2 linked regions of the Oreochromis niloticus genome follow. The protein of the gene in region 1 binds, or shares a complex with, the protein of each later gene. Links are inferred from orthologs where the notes say so. Each region holds a gene or a part of one and is shown on either strand. Other genes may lie near its edges.

What was found.
Region 2: the proteins of cop1 (region 1) and trib1 are in contact, whole or in part, in a crystal structure (PDB 5IGQ), measured with the Homo sapiens proteins. The link is inferred for Oreochromis niloticus from reciprocal best matches to the Homo sapiens genes COP1 and TRIB1. Residues at the interface, in NP_071902.2 of Homo sapiens: Ile423, Ser425, Val441, Lys472, Tyr491, Trp517, Asp534, Ala556, Asn557, Cys559, Ala576, Asp577, His578, Lys600, Ala601, Ser603, Thr618, Lys643, Asn644, Phe645, Phe699; in NP_079471.1 of Homo sapiens: Asp355, Gln356, Ile357, Val358, Pro359, Glu360, Tyr361.

Annotation. Positions count from the first base shown.
Region 1 is NC_031982.2:4,015,444-4,026,668, forward strand, and holds the start of cop1 (E3 ubiquitin-protein ligase COP1), read left to right. Parts: upstream 1-5,833; 5' UTR 5,834-6,289; coding exon 6,290-6,657; intron 6,658-6,747; coding exon 6,748-6,807; intron 6,808-8,306; coding exon 8,307-8,404; intron 8,405-8,879; coding exon 8,880-8,944; intron 8,945-9,058; coding exon 9,059-9,178; intron 9,179-11,225. UniProt on the Homo sapiens protein: E3 ubiquitin-protein ligase that mediates ubiquitination and subsequent proteasomal degradation of target proteins.
Region 2 is NC_031985.2:21,527,190-21,538,946, reverse strand, and holds the start of trib1 (tribbles homolog 1), read left to right. Parts: upstream 1-7,161; 5' UTR 7,162-7,602; coding exon 7,603-7,923; intron 7,924-8,719; coding exon 8,720-9,012; intron 9,013-11,757. UniProt on the Homo sapiens protein: Adapter protein involved in protein degradation by interacting with COP1 ubiquitin ligase. The COP1-binding motif is masked by autoinhibitory interactions with the protein kinase domain.

The sequences.
Region 1 (11,225 bases):
AGCGCAGTGCAAAGTGCCAGCCCTCAAATAGCAAAAGCCCCACTTGTTGAGCGTCCCTATAAATTCTGTAAGAGGACAAATGTGTTAGTCCATCAGAGTCAATCAGAGTTCTGCGTCTGCGCTCGAGCTCCTCTTTTTTTCTTGTGCGTCTCTGTGCGCTCTTTGCTGCTGCTGCTCCTCTCCACCGGTTTATGCAGTTGTAGTAATATCCTCCTCCATTCACTCCTTCACCTCTCTCTCTTTCTCTCTCTCTCTCTCTCTCTCTCTCCCATTCTCCCGAGTCCAAAGGTTTTTTATCAGGGAGCCCCTACCCGCCCTGACATCACCGGTAGGGGAAGTGTGGTGGTGGTGGTGGTGGTGATGGAGGAGGAGGAGGGGGAGGCGTCCTACCCGCTCCCTCACACTTGAGTTTTACAAGGGAAATCCTCTCCTCTCTTCTCTCCTTCCTGGCCAGTCCTGCTGCTGCTGCGCTGTGCATCCCTCTGATCCAGAGTTGAGAGAGGAAAAAGGCTGTAAAGTTTATTCATACATTTATTATTCTTGTCCTGACCTCATCCATCCACCCATCCATCCATCATCACTGGCGGTGGGAGAAGTATCCTGGCCCTTTTACTCTAGTAAAGGTGGCAATGCAAGACTGCTGCTAAACATGCAAATAGGCTGGAGAAATCCAAACCAAACAGCAAATATAGTTCATGTGACGTCCTTCTAACCTTACAGGATGCTTATGAATCCACTGCATTTCTTTGACATTGGATGTATTTGCGGAGGTAGAGGAACCAGCTTGTAAAGATTTGTTCTGCTACATGTGAGTAAAATTAGGCTCTCATTCTTCAAATGCCACCTCCATGGTGATTTACTTCAACTTTGGACTTGGAAGTTCCAAGGAGAGCAATGAAAAAATGACTTAGCTTGATTGCACGGGGTTAGAGTTATAGCTACTGGTAGGGGTTGGAACTGGGGTCATCACCAATGATGGCTTTGAGCTCAGAGAGTTAAAGTGAGGTTAAAGTGAGGTCTGAGGTCCTCCTCTATTTTGAAACATTTATGCGTCTGGTAATGTGGAGAATGGTCCAGGAAAAAAGTGCACTTGTGCGTGGACAAGTGCACAAGCACAACTAAGTTTTAATACCTTATATTATACTATATTATGCTACAATATTACATAATGTATATTTACATTATGATATTCATAAGTCACACAGTGAATTACTGTGTAAACTGGTGTCAGATTGAGTAGAAAACAATCGCAGCATAAGCTGCAGTATATGATTTGCTGTCCGTGTCTTCTTAATGGGACTCTCTAACCTGGCAAACGATGAATGATGGTGGCTGGGATGGGGGAGGAGAAGTGTTTTCTCCCTATGACCCTCCCTCACTCTCTTTCCTTTCCCCTCTCTCTCTCTCACACACACAAATTACCCCTAAATGAAATAGGTAAAGTTTGAGTAACTTTCTCTCTTCCTTTTCCTTTTCCTTTTCCTTCTCCTCTCCCTCCCTCCCTCATTCTCTCTCCCTTGCCCATTCTCCTGCAGTCTCACTCACACACTCACACTCTGGCTCTCTTCAGTGGTACAGCACAGACAGGCACAACATCTGTCCTGCACGTGAAAAAGGTTTTTTTGGGGGGGGGTTTTACCATCCAAATATGCTACCTGCTTTGTGCTGAACTCTTGTGCTCGTGTGGGCCAAGGCTGAAAAAAGGGGTGGAAGCACTGGCAGAGAGGAAGAAATTAAACCAAGGTGGATGATGGTGAAATAATGCACACAGATTTGTCCGTTTGTAGGTGCCCAGTGAACAGATTCTATGAAAAGCTGTGTGCATCTGCATACATGCAGACATATACTTGCATAATGAAATGTTACAACAACAAAAAAAGACATTTTACTATCTTTTGATACTGTTTTTTATGCAAAAATGACAAAAAAAAACTACTGAAGGTCCAGCTGATTTTTTTATTTTTTTTTTGTAATTTCCATTATCAGGAGCAGTCTGTCCTCTGAAAGAAGGAAGGGCTGTGGTCGAAGTCTCTCACAAAAGCAAATGAAAGGCCCCTTTAATGGTCAACTCGTTTTCTTTCAACCTCAATATTCACCCTGTTTGTTTTTTTTCCCCCTGCCTTTAGAGGTCGTGCATGTAAGCGTGTTTCGGGCAGAAACTCAGTAATGCTACTACTTTTGCATTCGAAGGCAAACAAACAGAAAACATGCATTTAAAGTGTTGCAGGTGTCCTTGAATTCTTTGTCATTTCCGAGCCAGCTCTGAAGCTTATCGTGCATTGATGAATATCTCAAGCCATGATGAATACCTTACAAATGGGAAAATAGCTTTTGGCATGTTGTGCAGGCAGTCTAAGTCAAAAGACAGGTGTGCTCACTGTAATGTTTCCAGAAGCTGCAAACAAAATCTATACTGATCCTTAAAAATCACTAAGAAGTGATATTCCACCAGATGATTTTAAAGTCTTGAAACTGCACACTGTGGTATTGGTTTGCATTTTTTTTATGAATGAGTCATTATTTATCTTTTAAGTGGTAATTAAATCTTTAATAGTAAATAAACAAAACAAACAAACAAAAAACGGCCTCCTGTAGGCCACTTTTTTGTTGTTCCACACCTTCTAAAGTGTTGCCTCCTTCTTTCAGGCCCTGCTATTTTACTTTTTTGTCAAGCTCAATTTGCCAACAGGGCCCTGGCTCAAGGTTGGAGATGGAAATGGAGGAGGAGGAGGGGGAGGCCACCGGCAGTTATGGCAGGGGCCCCTGAAGGGGCAAAAAACGGTTCCTAAAGAGTGGGAGGCAGGAATTCCACAAACCAAGCCTGGCTGCTAAACATTCAGCTTTCTCTGCTGCAGAAGTGCCCTTTGAAATCCAGCTGCAACTGCATTTGGAGGAAGAGGGGGACAAGAGAAATCAGAGGGGGAGGGGGACTTTAAATTTCCAACAAAAACAGAGGATGGAGGAGAAGAGGCAGAAGAGAAAGAGAGGAAGAGAGCCATAGAAGGGAGTGGGGTGTCTGGTAGAGCGTCTGAATGGGCGTGCTCCTCCAGGGCCTCACCCCCCACTGTAAGGGACCTCCACAGATTATCCTTCATCTCAGCTTGTCCGTCTTGACCCCAACGACCCCGAGGCCAGCTCCATGTCCCCTTCCCCTCGTGCTCTCTTTTCTACACACACACACAACCTGGATCCTCATGCAAAAAAAAAAAAAAAAGGAAGAGGGGGGGCCCAATAGGAGAAAATCCAGGCTGATGCGGAGGACAAATGAGAAGGGGGAAGAAAGAAGAAAAGAGTGCTTTTCACCACCACTGGTGTGAAATAGAAGTGGGGCAGGGAGATGGGCCGAGGGGGAAGGCACATGAAGCACAGTGTGTGGACAGTGCTGCAGGTGTTTTACTCCAAGGATTCAGGATTTAGCGATGAGGGTGTTCAAATCAATAGCTGCAACATTTGCTTCATTGCTTGGAAGCTTCACACTTTCACTGCCTTTTTTGTTTCTTTGAAATTATATTTTCTACCGATCTGTAAAGCCTCGTTGAAAAATGAAAAAAGTGACACAAGTTTCCCCTTTTTGGAGCTTTTGTGAAAACTGCATCGCTGCTGATATTAGCACAGTGACTTTCCGTTGGCTTCTTCTAAACTCAGCATGATTCACCGCCTGCATGCAGCACAGAGGAAGCCCGTTAACATGGTGGTCCCCTCTCAGAGAAACTCATTTGCTCTTCGACGTACTCAGTAACTTTCCTCTAGCTGAAAAAGAAAAAAAACTTACTCTCCATCCTAACTGAGCTCCATAATGAAACATATAAACTTCTTTCCGCAAACAAAAACATGGGAAAATCCAATGTCGTGCGTGCCTACGTGGAGGACCCCTTATTTGCCCACATGGAGGTAAAAATGGAAAAATCAAGTAGCAGGCTGGACAAACTGTGAGCGTGAATATGTTAGTGCTCCTCGGGTTCTATTTGCAAAGCTGCAGGTGGATGCCTGAATGACACGATGCTGTTTGTGTTGGCTCGGCCCCTGGCTGCACTTTGTGGATGTGACCTACCTGCTTGATTTTTTTTGTTTTTTTAATGTAAAAAGGCAATCTGGAAAGAATGACAAGCACGGGAGCCACTGTGCATTTGAGTGGTGGACAGAAATCTCTGTAATATTTGGAGGCATTTCTTAAATAGAGACGTGCATCTGTGGTGCTGCAGATGCACGTCTGATTCTTGAGATGTACTTACCTCTTAACTTAAAAGTGAATTCTGACGCAGTATTCATGTGTTAAACAACTGAATCTGTGTTCTATCACAGTTACCGGCCTTTTATTCAGTAGTGGATGCTGATTACACAAAACTCTTCATTTGATCCTCTCGTTATGGATTTTTATATGTGGCAATATTTTTAGATGTGTTTATCATTTCACCTGGATTTTTGCACTGAAAATGTCAGTGACCTCTGAGGGAAGTTTACATCTGCATATGCAGTACATTTTAGAAAAAATGTAAAAACCTTTTTCAATTATAAATTTTGTTTATACAGCGCCAAATTATAACAACAGTCGCCTCAAGGCGCTTTATAGTGTAAGGTAGACTTTACAGTATACATACAGAGAAAAACCCAACAATCATATGACCCCCTATGAGCAAGCACTTTGGTGACAGTGGGAAGGAAAAACTCCCTTTTAACAGGAAGAAACCTCTGGCAGAACCAGGCTCAGGGAGGGGCGGGGCCATCTGCTGCGACCGGTTGGGATGAGAGAAGGAAGACAGGATAAAAGACATGCTGTGGAAGCTGTTTGTGAAGTACACTTTTCTACCACTCCACACTATTACATCCCTCAGGTATACACATTACTTATAGATACACATAGCCTGTAAATAAATCATGTTCAGTCAAGTGTGCGATATTTTTAAATCCCAGTCTTATAGTATATATATTTTCAAGATTTGTGTCATTAAATATAATGATATAAACAAAAAAGAGTCTTTAATCTTGAATCTAGAACTGCAGATGACAAAAATGCATACATGCAATATGTGTACCTGCCTGACGTTCTTTTGTTGTTTGTATGTTAACTAGCTACCTGACTAACTTTCATGGCTACATGTTGTTAGTTGAGTTTATGAACTGGACGTTTTCATCGTATTATATTTCTCCAATAAATCAAGGAATCTCTGTAAACATGTGCACCTGTTCATCCAATTTTCTTCAAAGCTTCCAGGGACATTATCTCAGAACCTCCTAGCATGATTTGAGCTTTGGATAGCAGCGAAAGCCAGTATTGGCAGGAAGTTATAAAAAAGCTAGTAATTCTAGGTTCAGCTGAGATAATTGTGTTTCACACAAACTGTTTCAAGGGGTTACAAAAATAGAAATAAAAGAAGGAAATAAAACAACACACATGTTTAAAATTCCATAATCAAAGTCATTTTTTCTGTTGAATTACTATAACTAGACTTTACAACATAGTACAGAACATGTAATAATAATAATAATAATAATAATAATAACAATAACAATAATATAATCACATCGCAAAAAAGTATTTTACAGAGTAACATAACATAGCATGAAGTGAAATAAACAAACTCCTTTTCCAAGTGTTGTTATTAACACTGAGAAAATCCCCTGTGTTAAATACGAGGATAGTATTTAATTCAGCCCTGCTACATTGCATTCCAATAAACATTGCTGTCTGTTTTTCATGCCATGGGTCACATGATTATATCCTTTATGATACTACTTAAACAGGATAATTAAATGATGTAAGCATTAAAACAGTTATAGAGACTAGGACTGGCATACTGAAAGACAAATTAAAAGCTGTGCTCTTTTTTTTCTGAGTGGATAATTCCCTGAAGTCTACATTTCCACCAGCGCGGTTAAACTCCTTCTCGCTAGGGGGCGATAGTTTAAAACCAGGTTTTGGATTGCTGGTACCCGAGTAATCGAGGAAACTCTCTCTGTTGCTAACAGTAGCTAGCCGGATAATCTCCTGAACAGCGCAGCCGTTCTTATTTTCTTGGCCGTTACAGTGTTGGTCTGTGTTTTTCTGTTTAGAGTCCAGCGATCTTGGAATTCACCGTTAGTGACAAGCGTTAAACCAGACATCGACGGCCAACCTTTTTTTTTTTTTTCTCTCCGCTGGATGTTTGGCCACTCTTGTATTTCTCCCAGGATGTTAGCACATAAGCAAACCAGCTAGCTAGCAAATCTGCTAAAGTAGCCAAATAGCTGCTCTTTCCGGATGCTTTGAATAGCAACGCAGCGGATTTGGGGAGTTCCTAGTCGGCCTTGTATGATGTCAAGCAACCGGCCACAGCAAAGCGCTGCTGGGGCGAGTTCAGTGCCCAGCACAAGTAGCAGCAGCAGCAGCAGTAGTAGTACAGGAGGCACTGGGAATACAAACGGTGGCGGTGGCAGCAGCGCTCCCACAAGTAATGGGAGCACTTCTGGAAATGTTGTGCCCTCACGGACCCTGGCAGCGGCCGGAGAGGGCGGCCTGTCAGTGCCAACTCTGGCCGCCGTGCCGTCACCCCGGGGCGGCTTAGCTTCTCTCAGCAGACCGTCTGCGTCCTCTGGTAACAGAAAGAGATCCCTGCATCAGGCACCACTGTACAACGGCCTCTTGAATTCATACGAAGATAAAAGCAACGACTTCGTCTGGTTAGTTTTGTATTGCACTCGAGCTTTGGGGTGAGTTCCGTAAAAGTTTGAGAGCTGCACGATGACTCGGGTTTCTGCTTGTTTTTCCAGTCCCATTTGCTTCGAAATGATAGACGAGGCACACATGACGAAGTGCGGGCACAGTTTTTGGTGAGTGTTTGTGTTGTAGAGAAAATGATGCACAGCAAAGTATTCGACAGTGTCACAAATGCTGAAGAGCAACAAATGTCACAGACTGAAGGAACAAAGTTATCTTTAAGACAAACCATGCACTCTGCGGGGATCCATACTTACAGCTGATTACTGTGCACTTTAAAAAAAACTTTTGACAATATTTTTTTATAGTATTTTTTTGTTCTTGCATTTTGTTTTAAAGTTTGGGCATGTTTTTAATGTTACAGATGGGCTTCTAGAGGAAGTTCCAAATCACAGTCCATCACATCAGTGTTGCTATATTTTAATGACAATAACAACATCAAACCCATACAATGCAAGTTTTGTACACCATGCAAGCCTCACTTCGTCTCTGGTCAGACCCAAGAGTTTTTCTGACTCAAAATAGGGGTGACGCTGCAAAAGCAAGATTGGTTAAAGCAGCGAGTCTGTTTGGTGTACATTTCTGCATTTTATTTTGGGAGTTTAATGAGTGAAAAGCAAGCTTACGGTTAAAACATGTCCAACTAATTTATAATCCTGGTAATTTTCCTTTAGAGGATGCCACCAATATTGTTTTCTATTCAAGGTGAAAAAAAAAACCCTGAATTCAACTTTTCATTAATGCCAAAAGCCTGTAAAGGCTTGCTGTTTGTTTTGCACAGAGAATTGATCAGGATTCATTAGGCTAACATTAAAAAAGTAAGCACAATGGCTATTGCCACCGGAATCAGTAAAATCAACTGGAAGGAGTGCTTTATTTTGGCAAAAATCCCAATTATTTTGATCGATAATGAAATGACGGATGTTTAATCTAGTCTAAGATATAAGAGACTTTTATTTTATGTAAGCACATTTTCTTTTAATTATAGAAAGTAAATGAATGAACTAAGTCATCCACACTGCATTTTGATAAGAAGCAAAAAGGAAAAGGTTCAAACTGCAAAGTTGGTTGTAATAATTAAAAACAACATCAACAACAACAAAAAAACAGAGCAAAAACATTAACTAGTTTTTAATGACAGTAGATGGTCTTAAGCTGAATATAAGCCTGTAGACTCTTCAGCAAAGTTATGGTAAAGCTTAACATGATTACTGGTAATCCACAGTTGGCTCAGTGTTCTTTATGCCTGTTGTGTTTGCTTGCAGTGATTCTCATTTCTGTTAATGGGCTCGTTTTTCAATGCTCATAATAAACATGACCAAAGATCCAAGTAATGACATCAGCACATTAGCAAGTTATGCCTCAGTTTGCGATAGTTTGTCTACTCACTGGTGATGTCGGTGCGAGCAGATATCCTTAACAGGATCAGAGCTCTGGCTTTGAGCAAAAGTTCTGTTTTTGAGGGTCACATATAATCAGAAGAAGGCCCAGTATGGGATGAATAAAGATTATTTTGACTATGACTCGTTTAAAGCTAATCTTGTAAGATCTTGGACTGAAACGTGGAGCTGGAGTCCATAATATTTATTTATTCTCTCTCTCCATCCTGCAGTTTCAAGTGTATCCGCCAGAGTCTGGAGGACAGCAACAGATGTCCCAAGTGTAACTATATTATCGATAATGTGGATCAGGTCTACCCAAACTTTCTTGGTGGGTATTTTGAACTGGAGGGATTTTTTGTTTTGTTTTGGGTTTTTTCTAACAGTCAGATGATCAGCTCCTAAACTAATCATTTTTCTCAGAGCTTTTCATTTTAACTTGGACATTAAAATATAGCTGTTATGTCAGTTTTGGACTTAATGATTTTTAAAATCACAATATTTGAATAGATTTGTCTTTAGCTCATAATCACTACTAAAATGAGGCTTTCGTATTTGAATGAAGTCAAAATTGAAAGTTTTGTCTCATAAATGGGCCAAACAAAAATCTAATGAAATGCATTGTGTAGGTATTTAAATGCATAATGATAAAGATGTCGCTGCCACTTTTCTTTTATTCATCACAAGTAAAATGTCTCTGCAGATGTGTTGTTCCTTAGCTGTGACAGTCTCTTTGTCATATACTTACTCCACTGTTCCTCCTCTCTTATTTATCCCTTGTCCACAACTTCCTCACCACATCCCAGTAAATGAACTGATCCTTAAACAAAAACAGAGGTCAGAAGAGAAGAGGCTAAAGTTAGATCATCCAGTGAGTACAGCATGTTCTCAAACTGATTTGATTTTTTTCTCTTTTTGTGAAGATGTCAAGCTTTTTAAAAATATGTTTTGTTACTTGTAACTGATCAGTGTCTCTGACCTTCAGAATGGGTCTCGGTGGCAGGTCTTCCAGGATGTTTTGAGTCCTGATCAGGAGAACTTGGACCTGGCAAATGTCAACCTGATGCTCGAGCTGCTGCTTCAGAAGAAGAAGCAGCTGGAAGCGGTAAGTGAGAGGCTAATCTGTGCATTTCTTTGTTTTTGTTTCATTTTTTTGGCTCTTTAGCTTTTCATTGGTTGCGATGGAGGGTTTTTTTTTTTCCTTTAAAATTATGTAAAGTTCGTTAATGCAATCCGTGCAAACCGAGGAGGTTCATAATTAATGGCTGTTGTGTTTTATCATGAAACTGATCACATGATCACAGAGCTTGTATGTTTCAGTGAAAAATGCAAGATGCAGTGAGGAGACAGAATTAGAGAGGGTTAATTATTTTTAGCATAAAGTTAAAGTGGTTTTTTTTTTTTTTTTTTTAATTTGTTAAACCTTTTACAAGTTCTCTAAATTAATTCTTTAAATGTTATCACAAGGTTGTAACAGTGGAATACAATCAGTAATATAAAACATAATGGAAATGTTTTAATATCCACTGAATGTCCACTTTTTTGTTCTGGAAAGACAACAAATGAAATTTATCACGTGCAGATAAGACCTTGTTGTTTTGGAGGCAGTGGGTTCTGATCTGTTTAAACTGAATCAAACAGAAGTTGTGTAATATTCTGAGTTTCTGATGACACTGATCGACATGTAGTGCAATAATGTGTTTGCTATCAAGGTCATCGTTGTATCAGACCGCACTATTGAGGTGTTCCCTTTTACAGAATGTGACAAACGTTTCATGGTATAATGCACTCCAATACAGCAGGATGTCCATTACATTAAATACGTCACTCTGTCAGACTTCCTGGCAGAAAGAAGTTCTTTTGGGTTGCGTTAGACTTCAGATGTTCATAATAAATTAGGCATTGTGTGTATATAGTACTGGTAGCAATGGTAAAGATGCTACTTTTGTCAGAAGGTTTCTGGGCAGTTTCAGACATCCCTTTTTTTTGTTTTTGTCAGTTTACGTGACATAAAAAGAGAAGTAGGACTTTACAACCTTGGATTTCATCAGCACTATCTAAGACTTGCATTGATAATGAGATCTAAAATCCAAACCAGTTTTGAAATGGGAGTCTTTGCTTTTGAATTGCAAGTATGGATGCTACAAACATGTCTTTCAGATTTTCAGATGGCGCTACATGGCGCCTTGAGCTTTCTCGCTGTCAAGCACATGCTCGTCTTTCTGTTTCTTTTTCACACAAACACATGCAGTGTGTCACTGTTTGACTGTCATGCAAACAGACAGACTCACACAAGAGCAAGCCCAGTAATTCAGCTAAGTTTAGGCTTATGTATTGGTATCTGTCAATATGTTAATAGAATGTCCAAGCTAGTTTAGAAATAAGGGCTCCATAGTTAGCCGTGATATTGTATATAGTCAATAGTCTTCCTTTGCCTTGCTGCTTATTCTGTATACAGGACACATTGCTGATTGATTGTTAGCATGTGTGTGATAATTTGCCTCTGGACATATTTCATGTTTCTAGTTTTATCTGATTGGGCTTGTTTTTGTTTAGAGTGTAATTCTTCTTATTTAATCAGTTGTGATTTGCCAGTTTTAGATTCCATGTAGATATTTTATATCAGTCAAATTTAGGTCCCCGCAACTTAACTGTCTATTTGATTGATGTTTTGTTAGTATTCCTCCTGTATTTACGGTTGTTGCTCATCTATCCAAACCTGAAATATATTTTTTTAAAAAACATCAACATTTTAGATTTAATGGTCAGCCAATCTTAGTCTCCGTCTTAAATGTCAGCATCAGTCAGTGTGGGTGTGGTGGTGCTTTTCAGTCCTTCAGATGTTTGCTTTGGAGCTACTCTTTGGTTTTCATTGAAGATTAAGTAGAATTGAATAGAAATAGTCAGATATTATCTCCATCTGAGGCTACGTCCACACATACCCGGGTATTTTTGAAAACGCAGATTTTTCTATGCGTTTGCACCTTTCGTCCACACGTAAACGGCATTTTCAGTCACTGAAAACGGAGATTTCTAAAAACGCCTGCCAGGGTGGATATTTTCGAAAACTCCGTTTTTGCATTTACGTGTGGACAAGAAAAACGGAGAAAACGCAGCGTCAAAGGTGTGCGCCTTTTTTGACGTCACACTGT
Region 2 (11,757 bases), on another chromosome or scaffold:
CTATGGTCTACCAGTGGGGCAGGCCACCTCTATCGTTGATGCAACCATAAAAAGAATCTTAATGGCTCTGCTGATCCCCTTAACTTTTCTCACCTCAGCCAATCAGTGTAAAGCCGCTGTGACTTTATGGTAACACAGAGGCCGTCAAATCAACTGGACTGATAATTTTGACTGGTCTGTAATCGGTCTCCTCTACTTCCCTACCTCGACACTTTTTCCTCAACTGAGCGGACAAATGACGCGATGCACTTCTTGTTTCCTTTCGCTGTGTTTTCTCATTCCACTGACAGTGACATCACGGACTCGGCCTGTCTGAGCAAAGGCTGCTTGTGCAACCTCAATGATAGGCCGGAGACAGTATGGTGGTGACGTGTGTGTTTTGTGGCTACAGCACACACACACACATGCATACACAATTGTCATTCACTTCCCATTAACAACAGGAAACCCCTTGAGTCATCCTGGAGTGGAACTCTGAGAGTAAGACGAGCTATTTCAGTGAAATCATGTGTCGAAGAGTGACTGATAAACACAGAGTTGTGAAATTTTTGTTCTTGGGACCTGAAGGGAAGTGAGCTGAGCTTTTCAGATGAAATTCTGCTGATGTAGGGCTTAAGGGGGGTTGCCTGATACATGTGAGTTTTCCAGTTAAATTGCGTTATTGCACCAAGAAAGGATAACTGCGCTGTTTCGCTTTGAGTTTGGTGGGTTACAGTGGGTGAACGTAATTCCCATTTTCTCACACAGTGCACTTCTTTCATCTTCAAAGTCATTTTAGCCTCTTATGTGTAAGATCGTAGGATCTTTAAGCTATTTTGTGTTTGTCTTGTGTGATTATTAGTGCTGCTTATATAGTCACAAAAAAAATAATCAGCTAGTTACACCAGCCTGCTTTCAACTACAAGCATGAGTTTATTGTGTTAGTAGAGTCTGGGTTACAGAGTTACTCATAAGGATTTTTAAACACCAATGCATGAGTTATCTTCTCAACCAGGTGAACTAGTTAATGGAAAAGGCTCAGAGGCCAAGTAGCTGGTTAATAAACAAAAATTAATTAAAAATAATCAAAGAAAATCACTCAGTGCCTGAACCATACAAGGCAGAATGGATTAATGTTTCAGGTTGTTCACTCCTAGTTCTGACTCTACCATCTGCATGTTGCATTGGACCAGGTAATGCTTTTTCCAGTCTTCTGTTGTCCACTTTAGGTGAGCCTGTGTGAATTATAGGCTGGTCATTTTCTTCTGACCTCTGATATTAACAAGAAATTTTAATTCAGAGAACAGCTGCTTGGTGTACCATTCCCTGTAAACCCTAGAGTTGGCTGTGTGGGAAAATCCCAGTAGATTAGCAGTTTTTGAAATACTCAGGCACCAGCAAACTCACTTATACTCACTTTCTTCCTCATTCTGGTGCTCAGCTTGAACTTCAGCAGGGTGTCTTGACCGTGTCTGAATACTTATACTTAGATTACTGCCATGTGATTGGCTGATTAGATATTTGCATCAATGAGCAGCTGCCGAGGTGTACCTAATTAAGTGGCAGGTCAGTGTATATATAGAATAATATATTTCACTGCATTCAAAAGCTACAAAGTTGGGGTTTTTTGGTCCAAAAGACTTCATACATCCTCAGTCACGTCAAAAACATCTTTACAATTACAAATTGATCAGCAGCCAAGACAAGAGCCTATAGTGGGCCATGATTCGGTCCACAGGCCATAGGTTGAGTAGTGATGGCCTACATGATCACCAGATCTCAAACTGGTTAAACCAGAAAAAACTGTAGACCAACCATGTTATAGCTAGTGTATCTACCCATCATGTAATAACCAAAAAACTTTCTTTGCTCAAAGCAGAACTCATATCAATAACCTCAGGTTATGTTTACTACACTGAAAGGTCTGAAGAAGCCGTTCCCAACTATGGTCAAATACTACACCTGTGCTCTGGACAACACACTGCCCTAAAAGTCATTTGTGGATTTACACTGTTGGAGATAACTCCACGCCCCACGAAACTGCTGACAGGTTATTGCCTCCACCTCTAAACATGCCTTTTGCACTGCACTTCTAGACGAAAGCTAACGCCTACTTGATTCTTCTAAATATGTTTATAGCTTTTGTTCAGGAGGGTTACGCGTCCATCTTGATAACAGGTCTTGCACCTACTGCAATTAACTCCTGTGAATGTAAAATAAATGTTAAACTAAAACAATGCCTTGATCCCCTTAGTTTGTGCAGGTTATGAGTGCTTTGTGACAACATATCAGTACTATTTGGTCGGAAATTTGAAGAAGAAAAATATTATAGGTTCTCAGTCAGGAAGATCATGGCAGTCTTGAGTGCTTGACTTGAAGATGTTTGCTTTCTCATCTGAGAGGCTTCTTTAGTTCTGAAGACTGATAGGGAATACCTACATGGATCTCTCATGGATCTGTCACCTTGGAGGTGGTCTTTTTATCAGACTATCAAAGTTTCACAAAGAAGTCACACCTTGGCTCTTGCAACCCTAACAACTCAGATGAGGACATGGTTGGCGACTCTCAGAACACAGGGTTAAATCCTGGGACTCCCTATCAGCTGGTAAAACTGAAGAAGCGCCTTCATTGCAAGGTCTTCAAAAACCTATAAACAAAACCCAGATGCCTTCAACTCAGGCTCTTAATATGACAAAATATACAAAGAAAAAACATTTAAAGGAACTTCCTGCCTTCTGAACCACAAAAAAGATGACAAAGCATGTAGGTTTGCTTTGCCAATCATTCATTTACAAGAACTGTCAGCCACAAAAGACATATTAACATTACATAGCACTTCATGTGAACACTCTGTGGACAGCAGATGAAGAATTTAATTTTTCAGCTTAACTTTACAGCTTCTCAGAAGACATTTGGGGAAGGCTTTGTGCTGAGTATGTGCAAATATGACAACTCCCCTGTGTGAGAACAAATGTTTTCAATCACAGGGGAACAATGTGTCGGGGTGTGTTCCAGTGTAAAAACAATTAATGCTATAAAACCTGAGCTGAGCATATTGTAAAAATTAAAAGGATGCATGAAACCTAACCTGGGATTGAATAGCACAAATATCTGTGCTGCCAAGGAGCCGGTGAGTCTAAGCTAACCAACCGTGTCTCAACCCAAAAGATGAAAGAAAACGTGATGGACAGATTGGGATAACTAACAAGGACGGCAGAAATTTTTGGCCAGACTACAGTCTGGAGTCCTTCCACATGAAACAATCTCCATCTCAGCTCCTGGTTTGATTGATTGTCCTTGAGGTCAGTCTAGGTTGTAAAAATATAGAGCATATTCAGTAGAAATGATTGTTGCGGATTGATGGCTAATTTTGGTTGGGACCTCAACACTTGAGTTCACGCAGTTCACAATCTGGGAGCTTATGTGAGAATAGACACTAGAAAAGAGGAGTACTGAATGCTTTTAGACCATTTTTTTTGTTTTAGAGGCAGAATTTTTATCTTGACAGAATAGAAAGGCAATAATTTTTTATTGTAAGCATGCAGTTTAAAATCCACTGGCCCACTTCTATCTCCCACACTCTAATTCAGCATTCATAGCAAACTGTCAGCCGGCCAGAGAAACAATGGTAATGGCAGACAACCAGACATTTGGAGAAAACAAATTCTACTTTACAAATGTCATAAAAGAAAACAAGCTGCATGATACCAACAGTGGAAATGATTGGCTTGTGAAAAGACTCATATAATGTCCCTACTTCCTTCTGCTTCTTCCAGATTTACAAGAATAGGATCCAAGTTCAGCTGTAATTATACTTACCTGATATCATGAACTTTGTGAAGCTGTTACTTTGTCAGAGAAATACAGATCAGCTTTTCTTTGCTGCAGAGGAGTTTTCTGGGGGAGGGGTTTAAGATTTGCGGTGCAGTCACTAAAATCAATGATAATAATTTTAACAATGTTAGCAAATACGTGCATACTACAAACAATAGATGTAAACGAAAAAATTAAAATTAAAAATGAAAGTGAAAGTGGCACGTTTGGGTCAGTTCCTGTCTCAAAATGTCAGACTTTACAGTTGAAATAAACATGCTGGGAAAAAAAGGTTTGGGGCTTTACATCAGGTAAATATGTATAGAAGATTCAAAATATTTTAAATCGTAAAGCTTTGCAAAAAGTGGTGTATCCCCTTTTAAGTGGGTGCTTATCCAGTCACTAGCTGTTTGCTAGCCTGCTAGCGTGACTGATCTGGATCTCCGTTTTTTTCACTGTCGGGATGCTTTTGGAGCAGTTTTCATGCAATTAACTGAAAAGGATATGAATAGTTTTGTGTCAAGTTTAGTAACAGTGCTTCGGTCAATGTTCAGTCAAAGTTTGTTTGTTTCTCTGCAATGCATGAATGGACTCTACGGGTGCACCTGGCTAACCAAGTATGTGTTTGCTTGTCAGACATGACCAAACATGCTCGCGTCTGTCTCCAAAACAACTAATAGAAAAAGATTAATGCTAAATTACTTAACTGAACTCAACAAACGTGCGATAACGGGACCATTTCTGTGGTGTCACCATCAAGATAGCTAACAGATGTTTCTCCTTCAATTGCATGAAGTCAGGTTATGTCAATAGACGCTAGCATTCATTGGTGCAGTGGGTAACACAAGCGCAGAGGTTCTTCATTCAGATCCTGGCTGCGGGGCCTTTCTGTGTGGAGTTTGCATGCTGTCCTTGTGTTAGAATAGGTTACCTCCGGGTATTCTGGCTTCCTCCCACAGTCCAGAGAAATACATGTTAGGTCAACTGGTGATTCTAATTTGGCTATAGATGCGAGTAAAGTGCAGTATGTATGGCTCAGTTTGACAGTTATTTATCCTCTCAGTCATTTCATCGATGTTGCTTTTTTGGGTCAAAATAAGAAAAATAATACCGTTCTAAATAAAAAGAAATCTTTTTTTTAACATATTACAAAACAGTAAACTAACCAGTAACAGTTTTGCTAGTAAAATAAATTTAAAACACACATGAAAGAAACATGCTGACTGTTTACTCGTCATGTTTAACACTGATAACATACGGAAGATTTAACTGTTTTTTTAAATTATTATGAAGCATCTAAAGTATCAACAGAAAGAGGTAGTTTAAAGCAGGCAGTCAGGAGTGATTCAGGTGACTATACATCTAACTTGAGTTACTGTCTCACATCTGCAGCTCCGTTAATTGCATGTGTCTGTGTACGTTGGTAAAAATGAGCATGAATGAAAAGTAACCCACAGTGATGGCTGGATGTCAGCCAGATCAGACTTGAACTATTCTCAGAGCAGATCAATTCCCAGTCTCTCTTTATTGCTGCCAGTGGTGAGTGACTCAGCTAATTATAACAAGGAAGATCATGCCCTGAATACTGTTTTCACTTCTAGCTCACTGGCTACTCAGTAACACTCCTACTCAGGCACCGTATACATACACATACCCACACACACCATGAGGCACACACTGGCTGACCGGCTATATATACTGCTACAACCTGCTGTTCGGCAATAAAATCTATATTGTGTAATCCACAGCCCACATATCTTGATGTGACTTTGCGTGATGTGATTCCAGCGTGAACTCTCAGTTACACTGATACAAAATGTGACATTACATGCACACACAAGCTTTTTTTAATCACAGCCAACACAAATAAGTCAGCTTTTCCAGTATCCTCCTAAACACCGTGTCACGCACAAACAGACTCCAAACACACATAATCACTTTGATGTCACATAACAATAAACCTTCAGTACCTCTGCCTCCCATTCCCACAGTGACTGCTCATCCTGTTTGTTCAACTTCTTAAAAAGAGAAAGAGGGAAGGCAGAAAGAGAGGAAACCTGTTCCCTTGCCTGCTCAGCAGCATGACAAAGACACTTGCTCATAGAGACACGCATGCATCAATCAGTTGAGTGAGTCACCTTTTTCGTAGGACGACCACCGCGCAAAGAAAGAATGCAAGGCCTAAAAATAACAGCCATCATTCCTATGGAATCTGCAGCTCATCCATGTTTGGACAGCCTGCAGAAACAGGTTTGCATGACCTTTTTGAGTCAAGCTGTGCCCAACCGCTGTGACCCGGTTAAGTGTGTGACATGTTGTGGAAGGAACCGTGTTAGAGATGTGAAAAGAAACGACTGGGAACGGCCTGCTTCTGATTGGCAGGATTGGCCGCACTAAAGAGTTTTGACGGTGCACACGCGCACACAGGCCAGCTGGTGCTCTGTGTTTTCAGTGAATGCTCAGTGAGCCTCTGCTGCAGCCACTGTGCTCGTTCAACATAAAGCAGTGGAAAAAGAGAACTCTTGCGCAACACGCGCATGGTCACGCGTGTGTACACACCCCAACAAACGCACACAAACATGCACATTTATAATTGCCCAACACGACTCGTCTCAGCGCTCATCACAGGAATGTTTTTCAAACTGACTATATCCTGCACTTCACCCTTGAATTCTTAACGGTCCATCGTTCACTTGATTATTATTTTTTTTTCAATATCATTGCATAATTCTCATAAAGAATTGCACAGCATTTGGCTCCTTTGGTAGGGGTGCTTGATGTACAAGTGGTTTCACCTTAGCCTGGCTGCTATGATGTTGTTTACAGAGCCAAGCTGGCATATTTTTCTGTGAGTTCTTATAGCCCAACAAAACTACAGCTTTATGGGGGTGAGTCATATCCACAGGCCCAGCATGGGAAAATATCATGGTGTTGTTAAAGCCAGAGTTCAAGCTAGCACACTGAAGCTTTTTGTATGGGCTGGTTCACACCTGAAGCCCAGCGTTTAGAGAGCAAACAGTTCCGGTGCCACGCAGAGGTCTGTGGAGAAAATGTTACAACTGGCAATAAAGGGCAATAAGAGCCGAACACTAAGGAACAACTGAGTCAGACAAGGTGCTTCAAGGATTGTTAATTATTGCCTAAAACATGTGCATGCTTGATGAGGCAGCTGATAAGTAACAGATGATTTCTTCACTCCTCTCATCAGTTCCTCAAGTTCCTTGATATCAGCAAAAAACTCTTATGGGGGAATTTGAAGATTCATGACACACTGGTTAGGAAAAATAAATAAATAATGTTTGAAGCATATGCTCACGCAGTCGTCTGAGAAAGCTAATACAGTGGGTAGTGTCATCAGAGCCGCGCTGAGCAGGATTGCTCAATGGTTGTGTCACCAGGAGGCTGGACTGGTCGGGCGGAGTGTTTGAGCTCAGAGCTCAACATCACTGGAGCTCGCTCACTCTCAGCCACTCTTTGAGTGTGAGGCGGTCTCTCTTTCTCTCTGTGTCCTCTCTCTTTTTTCCTCTCTCTCTCTTCTCCCTCTCTCTCTAACAAACACTGACTCTGGGCTCTGAGGGATCGGATTTTTTTCCTCTCACCAAAAGTACACAGACCTCAGAAGCCACGAGCGCTCACTCTACAGAAGGACGTCGATTTGGATTATTACCAAAATCCGCTGAAGTTTCTTTTATGTGTCACCAGTCCTGAGTCTTCTACGGAGAAATGGAGAGCACAGTTTGTAGCTTATTTTAACCGTCAAAGGGAGCATCTAAAAGCAGACGGACCTCGCTTCTTCTTTTTTTTGCTTTCATGGTGAATCGGCCTATCAGGATGAACTTGCAGTGGAGCAGCCGGGCACCTTGCATCCGCGCGGGGAGACTCGCGCACAAGCGGCTGGACTCAGACGATCAGCCGCCGGCCAAATGCGCCCGGCTGAGCGCCGAGGCGGGGGACACGCAGGGACTCCTTGGCACCTCTCCCGGATCCCCGGTCAGCCCCGGCTTAACCTCTGTCCCACCGACTCACCAGGGACCATCCAGCATAGGATCGTATCTACTTCTACCTCTGGCGGACCGGGAGTGCATGCACAGCGCGATGAACACCGATACTGGTGATGAGCTACTGTGTAAGGTATGCGCAATCCAGTCATTGTGCAATTTCTTTGAATGAATGATGTTTCAAGACATCCCGTTGCCCAATACCCTGTCTGACATGTCATCCGTATTTGGCTGACTTTTTCACCAGATGTCATTCTCACGCGAAATGTGTCACGATTTGCGTAATAAAAGTCTTACTTCATTATATACATATTTTTAATTTTTTTCAAATGTCTGAACCTGATAAGGCTCCTTTCATTTTTACACGACGTGGAACAGCAGGCAAACCCTATGTTGCCTGTTTTGTATTGTGGAAATTCAGCCTATCATACTGAAGCCCACCAATCCTTGGCACCGGTGCTTCGCACTGTGTCTGTCAACTGGGCTCATTTGCATACACGTCATCGCAGTACGCCACGCTGTGACACACAAAAATGCAAACATGTGAGGCAAAAAAGGCTCTCGTGATAAGGATCTTTCCCGATAAGGACAGGGTCCTCCACTGTTCCATATCCCTGTTTATTTTGCATCATAGACCTGCAGGCGTTTGGCTTTGTTGATTAATAAAGTTAATCGCTTCACGCTTTGATGATTCATTTGTCATGCGCTTGCAAAAGCAATGTATTGAGCTGGAATCAAAGCATATCCCAAGCCTTTTTTATGTCGCTGCCAAATTTTCATGGTTGTTTACTTAGATGATCATTAAGAACATACTGACCTATTGCCTCTTCCTCCTCCTCCTCCTCCTCACACTCACTCTCTCTCTTCTCCTTAACCATCTTTCTAATTTCCATCATGCATCCCTCCTTTTCCTCCCATCTTTCTTCCAGGTCTTTGATATGGGGGTATACCAGGAAAAGATCAGAGCCTATGGTATTCTACCAGCACACAAGAATGTGGCCGGCATCAGGGACATCATCCTCGGTGAGCGCAAGGCCTACGTGTTCCTGGATAAAGACTTTGGGGACATGCACACTTTGGTAAAGAGCTGTCGCCGACTGGACGAGGGACATGCCTGCAGGCTCTTCCGTCAGGTGGCCCTGGCCGTAGCCCACTGCCACCAGGCAGGCATTGTGCTGGGTGACCTGAAATTACGCAAGTTTGTCTTCGCTGATGACAAAAGGTGAGGATTTAAAGTCCTACTGCAGCATCAGATTCACCTGTCACGAGTCTCGAATTGCTCTCAGTCCTTAACACCGATCTCAGCTATACAGATTTATTTGAATGCTCTCAAACGTGTAGTGTAGTGGTACATGCCAGTGAAGACACAGAGTGAAGACAGCAGCAGCTGATACACGCACAGGCCATGTGTGCAGATATCAATGTGGGCACAGATAGAGTAGGAGGTTCTGTACTTGTGGAGGCAGACTGCTTAGCTTCCCAGATTTTCGCCCTCTCTGTCTGTCTCCCTATTTCACTCTCGATGTGTCTCTTTGTATGCAGTGTTGTGTGTTTGTTTTGCATGCTTGTGTGTGTGTGTGCGTGCGCGTGCACAGGCAAGCATGTGTGAATGTGGTGGGTGGCAGTTTGGCAGAGCTGCGAGACGAGGCTGCTGAATGAGAAAATCATACCTTCTGTGGTCTATATCTTAGAATGCATTTATTACTCATCATTTATTAATAAATTACATCATAGCAATGCTGCAGGATAACTGGCGTGTCCAGAAAAATTTCATTCACTTACATCCATGAAGTAGTATGCTTTGAACCTGCGCCCACACACACACACCTACACACACACACACACACACACATCTAAATGCCTGCATCTCCCAGTGCCAGATATAGTTCAGGAAGATACACAAAATCCATGCTTGCAAAACTGTTTGTCGCCTCTTTGCCCTTGCGTCACTCTCTTTTCTGTAAGCGTCCACTGATCTCCTCCACCCCCTCAATCCGGCTCTCCAAAGGGCCTTTTTCATGGAGACTTTTGAACAGTAACATTCTCCAGTCATGACCTCTGGGTTAGCTGGGTTACAGTCGATGAATGAGAGCAGACAGCCAGTGAGAGAAGTTGAAGTTAGTCGCGTCCCTCTGATAGCTATATGGCTGCAGAGCGATGAGTCACTGTGTATATGGGCAGAGGGGAAGAGGGGAGGGAGGGGGGTGTTGCACAGCTTTTTTCTTTTTTTCTTCGTGCGAGTGCATGTGTCCGTACATGCATGTTCGCGCATTCAGAGCTGTAAAGCTGCGGTCCATTGCGAGTTCAAGTGGCTTGTTGCCGGCAATTCAGTATTTCGGCAACGGAGCGACGGCACTGCAACATTAATGTTGGTAGGCTGACCCGCTCGACCCGTGAAGATGTGTGGTGACGGCATCTTTTTTTTCTCATTCAGACTTCTCTGTGCACTTTTAATGGTAACATTTCAAAGCGCCACTACAAAAACAAAAAAACCTAAAAAGCATCCTGTCGTGACTTTGAAAAACTAACCTGCAGGCTTTGCTGATAACATTAAACGGCTCCGTGACATAATGGAATTTGGCGGTATTCGTTTCCAGAAAATCAGCTTTGTTCACCCTGAGATCACCTCTTTTGCTCTTTTGTCCAAACACAGACAGACAACAACTTAAGGCTCACTGAGCTCTTACGATTCTGCATGACCTCATTTATTCCGTCATCCATTCCTCCAAAATTCACAATCAGGCATCTTTCAAACCCCAGCGCACAAGCCGTGATGCAATGTCCTGGCCAACAATGCAGCGGCCGAGCCAGCGACAGAGAAAGTCACAACATTTTGACAAATGCTAGCTGCATTCGCACACACACTCGCACACACACACAGACATACACAGTGCAGTTGGGAGAGCCAGTTTAGGAAAGGTGACTAGCACTCTGAAGCATGCAGAGCTTCACAGTCAGGCCAGCCTTCCCGTGCGTCACTGATGTGGCAACAGCCATTTGAGGGTAATTATGGGATGGCTGGCGCCGCAAGTGTGGGACCCAGGTGCAGATAGCCTCGGCTCGAGAAAGAGAAAGAGAGAGAGAGAGAGAGGAGGAGGAGGAGGAGAGGAGATATGTACTCTCAACAGTAGGATGAGTCATTCTCTCCACCCCTCTAACTCTCTCTGTTCTGTTTCCTTTTCTGTCTCCATCTCCTTTCTCCTCTCCTGACATATCTCCTCCACTATCTTGCTGTTTAAATATCATTTGCTTTTCCGTCTTGGTCCTTCTGGCTGTCACTCTTTTCATCCTCTCTCCGTGGCTTTTTCTTTGTCTGCAGTCAGTCCGTCTGACATCTCAAGTGTCTCACTGGGGCGAACCCCCGAGACTGAGATACAACAGAACTCTTTATGTGCGTTTCACTTGGTGAAATCCCCCCCAGTCATTATACACAAATTAAATTAGAACTAAAAACAGTCTGTATCTGCTGCTGTAAAAAGGAAAAAAACATAGAAAAATGCATGACATATTTTTTTGCCCATGGAAATGGCAAAAGTTTCCCATCAAATGTTCTATCTTTGCGCAAGAGCGTTTCAGTGGTGAGTACCTCATCCTGAAAAAAAAATATGCTCTCACAGTCTTAGTTGCTCTGCTGCAGGACTAAATGTACGTCCTGTCATTAACTTGGCTAAATATAGCATTGTGTGTGTGAGAGTAAGGAAGGAGGAGGGGGGTGTTGGTGTAGTGTATTTATATGTGTGTTTACATGACCATGTGAGTGCCAGGAAGTCATTGGAAATTTGCTTAGGCAGCTCTGCTTCTTAAACGGGAATCACAGTGGCGCACTTAGGTCGTAGTAAGTTCACTTCTGTGTGTGTGTGTGTGTAAAACTGTCTGTCCATCTGTCTGTTGCACAGATTAAAGCTAGAGGAAGGAAACACACTGTACTTGTCCTGCTTTACTGTAAAATTAAAGCCCTCTCTTGTAG